Linked DNA regions of Canis lupus familiaris. The protein of the gene in region 1 purifies or fractionates together with the protein of each later gene. This does not show direct contact. Links are inferred from orthologs where the notes say so. Each region holds a gene or a part of one and is shown on either strand. Other genes may lie near its edges. The genes, in order: STX18 and NBAS.

Region 1 (3,181 bases):
ACAGCCCTGTTAGCAAGTTAGTTTTTAAAAAACTTATTTGTGTTGGAAAAGTGAAAATGTAATTGCTGGGAAGCCAAGATCAATTTTTATTTTGTGAACTAGAACTCCTTTGATGTATGAAGCAGGCAGGAAAGGCTGGGAGGGGCTCATGTGGCAACTTGCAAATCCAATGATGACATTTCAATTCACCGAATCTTTGTAAGAAAATTATGTCTCAACCTGAATCTTGACATTAAAGTATATGTTTACAAAATTGCCAGTTAGATAAGCTAAGTGTGTAAGACGATTAAATAGAAAAAAAAAAAAAAGACATTCGCAGACATTTTCTTCCATGTTATTTGAATGTGTTGTTTCTGGTGGACATGTCAAAAGTTTCACTGTTTTTTAGTAGATCAAAAATAAATGACAACTAGTGCAAGATCTGTTGCAAACAAGCATGGTGGTCATGGCCGACTCCATTACTGCTTCCTGAAATGTGCTTCCCAAACCATATTTTATCATCAAGGGTGTTCTGACCATGACCGTGGCCTCGGAGCCAGGGATGAGTGGGACAAGGCCGCATGCATCTAGAGAGAGCAAGAACCACATACACACCTTTCCTGCACAGACACACCAGTAAACACACTAAGGCAACATACCTTTGTACTTTCTAGTAGACATTTTATTGACTGTAAATTCACATGTAACTTTTGACATTTTCACTCTGTGCCAATAAAAAACACAGGACCCCTCCCTGTGGCCGCGTGACAGACTGTACTGCACACAGTTCTGCAGGGAGCAATGCAGAGCTGTCCGCACCCACACCAGGGGGTGGGGTGGGGGTGGGGGTGGGCATGAACACCAGCTTGTTTCCTGCACAGACGTGGTTCCAGAAGACTTGTGCTTCCCACTGCCAACAGGTGGTCAGTCCTGTTCATGTTTCCTAGAGGGTCAGGTGCACAGGCCAGGTTCCTGCTCCAGCCAAAAGCTCCCAGGGGCGCAGTGGCCCCTTGCTGAGTGCCCAGAGTCTATCCCTGCACTTCTTCTGCAGCCAGCAGGCCGGCGTCCACTGAACTACACTCGGACCCGCCGATAGGACATGAAGCAGCTATAGTTGCATTTATTAGGTCAACAGGGCACAGGTGCGTTTTCTATAACATAGTGATTCTGTCACATGGCCCAGGCAGATGAGAAGTCACAGGAAACAAAGAAATGATCATCTGTTGTGAGAAGTTATTAACCAGTGCTTCTCCCGAAGCCACCAGAAGGGCAGGGCTGGAGCCTCCCAGAGCCTGGCCTCTGGTCAGCCCTTCCACATTGGTCTCCAATTTAGGTGCAGCCAGTAACAATCCCCACCCCCCACCAACTCACCCACCTTGCATCAGGATTGCTACACAGGTCATTTTGTGTTCATTATTTTCTTTCTCAGCTACTACATGGGCTTAAAACCACAGGTCTGGGTGTCCCTTTTGTGAGAGTATACATCTGTCACAGCCCCCTCCCCCCGAATGGCTCTGTGATAAATCGGCTCACAGCCCTGCTCTGATGCCGGAGCCCACAACAGCGCGCCGCCTGCCGGGAACAGCCAGAGTGGACTAGCTGTCATACCAGTCCAGGAAGAGCAAGGAGAAGGAGCACATCACCAGGAAGAAGAGGACCCACACTCGGAAGCCAGCGTTGTTTTTAATGGCCTGGGGGAGGGGGGAGAAGGAGGGCAGTAGCACAGGGATTTGCATCACACAGGATTTTGGTTTCAAAAGCCCTCAAATGCTCCACCTGTCTGCGGGCACTCGCCCTGCACTGGGCTTTAACAGGGTATTGCTAGAGTCAGTGCTACCGGAATTAGACAAAACCATGGGTTTAGAATCCATCAGAAAACAAACAGGTATTTATTTCCCTTACTGGCTGGCCCTTAGACATACTTCCTGCATATTTCTCCCAGGAAACACCCAGCAACTGCCCATGTGCATCCTGGGGTTAAAACCACACACGCCGACCTCGAGTACCATAGCTGGCCCAGCTGCTGGCTCCCCACAGTACATGGCAGTAGTGGCCTCCCATCAACCCAAACCCGGGGACTGCACTCAGAAGACCGAGGACACTCAAGAGTCCGCTGTGGTGGCCCCAGTAAACCAAGGCCCTGGCCCTTAGGGTTGGGGCAGGGGGTGTTCAACAAGCTTCTCCAGTGGCGCCCATCCACGGATTTAGGGAGCTGGTGCAGCCTTTGCCAAGAGTAACCTCACGTGTCTCAGATGGCTCCTTTGGAGGAGGGTGAGTCACATCTCTTGGTAACAGCGGGTGCCCAGGGTTTGTTGGGGACAGAACAGGACTGTCCAGCACAGTCAGGAGGTGAGCCCTGGGGATTGGGCCCCAGCATGGCTCTCCTGCAGCCCTGCCAGCAAGACCACCCCTACTGCCTGGACTCATTGCCACATAGCCACGGCCTGGGGGACCCGAGAGTACTCACCTCTCTGATGTCTTCATTACCTTCCTTGATATTCTCAGTTGCCCCTACAACTAACTGGTGAATGCTGTCGATCTCGGCCTCCTGTGGAAGAAGAGTAACAGGTGGACCCAACCACTATCTCCTTTCCCCAAGCACACAGACCTCAGAAGCTAGCAGCTGCCCCTTACAAAGGGCCAGGACTTTATAAACATGAGCCCATGAATCCTTACGGTGCCCTGAGGGGTAGGCCGCATCCTCATTTTGCAAAAGGGAAACAGGGTTCAGAGACTTCACCCCGAAGTCACACAGCAACCATGTGGCAGGACTAGGACTGGAACCCAGTACCTGTGCCGCTGCCACCCCAGGTGTCACCTTCTGTGCCACTTGCTGGACAGGAAGGGACGAGCACAAGAGCTGCCCGTTACATAGTAGCCGCCACAGGCCAGGGCCCTTCCCTCTGGTCTCTCCTGTATTAGGTTCGAGAGGTAAGCTTTTAAATGCATGTGCTTTAAAACATACCCTAGCTTCAGAAAAGTGCTTTGTGTTTCACCATTTTATGTGTAACCTAAGAAAGTAAAGGGCTAAAATGTATAAACATGACCTCCCATGTACTGAGAGCCTCCCATGAGCCAGGAGCGTGTCCAGTGCCTCTTCCACCAGCAATGACAGCAAGGCAGGGGACACCCGCCCCATTCTGTGAAGGGCGGCAGGGCTCAGGGCACCCCAGGTCACAGGACACACTTCGGAAGTCTGGAT
Region 2 (3,823 bases), on another chromosome or scaffold:
TTTTTTTTTTTCCCCCTGACCATTCCACATCTTGGCTCAAACACTCTTCGTTACAGGTTACTAGATGCACACATTTTGTATTAATTCAGCAAGAGGAAAAGATTGCCAACTCTGAGCAAGTCAGTGAACTAGGCCCTGTAACACCTGCCAAAGTCAGCTTCATGTATGCCACTTGCAAACACCTTACTCACTTATCAAACATCAACTAAACACCTATTATGTTCAAGGAAATATAAACTACTAGGGAGAGGCAGCTGGGTGGCTCAGTAGGTTAAGTATCTGACTCCTGATTTCTGTTCAAGAGGTCATGATCTCAGGGTCGTAGGATCAAGCCCGCGTTAGGCTCCACACTCAGCATGAAGTCTCCTTGAGAATCTCTGTCCCTTTCCCTCTGTCCATTCCCCCCTCTCTCTTTCTCTAAATAAAATCTTTAATAAACTGCTAGGGAAAAAGGACAGCATTGCTTCTTGCAGACACCAGATCCCACTCACATTGAATTTTTAAGGATTTTTTGTTTGTTTATTTGAAAGGGAGTGTGTGCACAGAGGGAGTTGGAGAAGCAGACCCCCCGCTAGCAGAGAGCCCATTGTAGGGCTCAATCCCAGGACCCTGAGATCATAACCTGAGCCGAAGGCTGATGCTTAACTACTGAGTCACCCAGGTGCCCCCACTCACACTGAGTTTTAAGTAAATGACAACCCTGGAGTTGTGCAGAGCAGTAGTCCTAACTATACCCAGGGAAACCCACATGTAAACATACAAGTATATACAGCTAGACAACATGATCAAAAGGTACTATAGATTAGTGGTTAAAAGCAGGAACACTGAAGCTAGAATGGCAAATTTCAAATCCTCAAGCAATGCCAGCTTCCTCATTTCTAAAATGGAGGGAAATAAGAAGACCTACCTCACAGATTAAATGAATTAACACATTAAGCCCTTACAAGAATGTCCAACACCGTTAGTATTATCCTATCCCTAAGTATAATAGTGTGTTGATTATTTCAGGAGCATAAAGGACTGGCACATAACCAGGGATGGGGGTGGGAGGTCCATATGGATTATGTTCCTGAAAGGCTTCCTGGTGGAATTCATACTTTACCATGTAAGAGTCCTTAGATATACTAACGTTAACAAAAGCTTTTGCAAATTACACACCAGATGAATAAGATCTTGATGAGCATGACTACCATTGCCTAGAAATTTTCCCTCACTACTTAATCTCGAATACAGGAGTGAACTCCTAGAGCTGGATATGTGTACAAGTTTTAGACATATTCTACCCTCTAACAATCCAGTAGCAAATCCTTTTATAAAAGCAATTTTTTGTTCTCTTCATCAAAAATTTTATTAATAAGTTCCAGAAGCACTTGGTCAAACTCTTCTTCACAGATCTAAATATCAATCCCATTCCCGTATACATGTTCTGATCCTAACACCTAAAATCATTCCACTGATGTTCTCATTTCATGGGATAAAGATGGAAATTTTGACGATTAACTGCTATTGATAAAGTCACACCATAAGCACATTTCTCAAAAAGATACATTTCACATTACTGCAATAAATGGAATACCAAGCTCTCACCCACTCCTATGAACAATGGCAGTTAAAGAATTGTGCCAGCTTGATGTTTACGGATGCTGTAGAAAAAGAGAAGGACCTGCCTATCAAATTCTGGCCAAATTAAGTAATGTGGTTATGGAAGGCTGTCATTATTGCCCATCATCTCCATTCTGAAGATTTTAAGAAGGATTACAAAACAAAGCTTCTGCATCTGAAGTTGATACCCCAGTGAAAGCAAACACTCTCTCTACACCCCCAAAAGTTGAAGGGTCCTGTTCTGTTTGGAAACTGGAAAAAGAAAGAAATTACACAACGGAAAGCTAAAACCAGTGTGATAACAACTGAATTATCCTATATTTAATCAAGAATAATTAGGTGTCAGAAAAAAAGTTTTGGCTAGTATCTAGGCACCCTGAAATTTTGGGCTCATTGCTTATTTTTTAAAAACCAAGAGTCAGGTCTTAAGGAAACAGTGCAACATGTTTAGTCTGATGTAGTGCAACATGTTTAGTCTGCTGTAGCTAACTAGTTTCGGGGTACCTGGGTTGCTTAGTGGTTAAGCATCTGCCTTTGGCTCAGCTTGTGATCCTGGGGTCCCGGGATCGAGTCTCACATCAGGCTCCTCGCAGGGAGCCTGCTTCTCCCTCTGCCTATGTCTCTGCCTCTCTCTCTCTCTCTCTCTGTCTCTCATGAGTAAATAAGAAAAATCTTTAAAAAAAAAAAAAAAAAAAAACACTAGTTTTCCTTAGTTGCTACTGTAGCTATTTCTTTCACAACAAAAATATTACTTAAAAAAAAGTACATGGATATCCCATCTTAGAGAAGCCTTCTAGATGTGTAGAGAATACCACTGAATAGCTCAAGATGACAGAGAATATCACTGGTCTCAAGTAATATGGAATCTCTGTCTTCAGTAGACCCATATTCCATCTACAGCTTTATGCCAACAAAGCAAAGTAGCCCCTACTTTTTTTTAATACTTTCATAAGCATTTGTTTTAGCTGACTGTGCAGTAACCAGTCAAACAAGGGTGACTTCCAGAGTTCTGAAGATACGCCTTGTCTACTAAAAAAGTAAAATTTCTCAGATGACAGCAAAGTGATCTGGGGAAGCAGACTGTGCTACTCTGACAAAATATACTTAGTCCTGTAATTGGCATAAGTTGGTGTCTGGCACCTCACAGAATTATGTGGGTCAAACCCCTTTAAATATGCCTCTTCAAAAATATTAGTTCCCATAAATCAAATAAAATTTTCTCAAGGGAAATTTTAAATATGAATAATATTAACAATTACCTGATCTCCACACACTGATCTTGAACAGCAGCCAAAAGTTTTCCATTGCTTTTATAGGAAAGAAAAAAAAAAAATTCTATATAAATAGTTGTAGCAAAAAAAAAAAAAAAAAAAAAATAGTTGTAGCAGTCTTCAACAAGAAGATTTTAAGAAGTTAAAATTATCTTTAAATGTATTCACATCTTCAGTCATCCAACTTTTGACCTTAAAATTAAATAGGAATATCAAGGTACCAAAGCATACATAAAAATGATTCAATATAGTTGAACTAATACATTTAAAAGGTATCAATAATATGTGACAAAGGCAATTGAAATATAATATTAAAAAAAAATCAACACTACAGGCCAAAAGGACACCAAAATTAATATCTGTAATGGAATTTAGATGCTAATCCTAACAGAGAAATACATAAATGTTTAACACCTTACCTTGCAAGTACCAAATGCCAGTTTATCTGTTTATTGACCAAGCGAACCAGTCCATCAGGGAGCAAAAAAGGCACAGGGCTGAAACAACATATTAGCTAACTTAAAATTTAATCATCAAAGACACATATAAGCAAATAAGTATTATAAGTAGCATATATAGTTATAGCAAGACAGGATGTTTTTCATTAAGATATAAAATTTGAATAAACTGGGAAACCCAAAACTCAAAGCTACTAATTGGTTATGTGAAATTTGACCACACACATCTTTTCTTCCAGAAAAACACAGTGGTATGCTCAGATATAAATTCTGTGTCCTAAGGGAAAGGTATCGAGGTTGCCAGTAACAGCAGAGTGAGCTTGTAAGAAACCCTTCCTGCCATCCACACCTAGAAAATCTGATTCACCTCTAACAAAAACTAATTCTAGTATACAACTAAACTCACAGGAAAGAAAGAAATCTCCAAGTACTAGAAATGAAAAGGGAACTTAAAAGTTAAAACTGGATACAGGTACAAGAACTCAAAACAAG

The links.
Region 2: the proteins of STX18 (region 1) and NBAS purify together in Homo sapiens (co-immunoprecipitation; 5 studies listed by BioGRID and IntAct, counting the BioPlex papers as one, with this or other methods). This does not show direct contact. The link is inferred for Canis lupus familiaris from reciprocal best matches to the Homo sapiens genes STX18 and NBAS.

What each region holds. Positions count from the first base shown.
Region 1 is NC_049224.1:70,407,874-70,411,054, forward strand, and holds the end of STX18 (syntaxin-18), read right to left. Parts: intron 2,528-3,181; coding exon 2,447-2,527; intron 1,671-2,446; coding exon 1,575-1,670; 3' UTR 1,147-1,574; coding exon of another isoform or gene 1,146-1,146; 3' UTR 636-1,145; downstream 1-635. UniProt on the Homo sapiens protein: Syntaxin that may be involved in targeting and fusion of Golgi-derived retrograde transport vesicles with the ER.
Region 2 is NC_049238.1:11,422,208-11,426,030, forward strand, and holds part of NBAS (neuroblastoma-amplified sequence), read right to left. Parts: intron 3,371-3,823; coding exon 3,293-3,370; intron 2,910-3,292; coding exon 2,862-2,909; intron 1-2,861. UniProt on the Homo sapiens protein: Involved in Golgi-to-endoplasmic reticulum (ER) retrograde transport; the function is proposed to depend on its association in the NRZ complex which is believed to play a role in SNARE assembly at the ER. Required for normal embryonic development.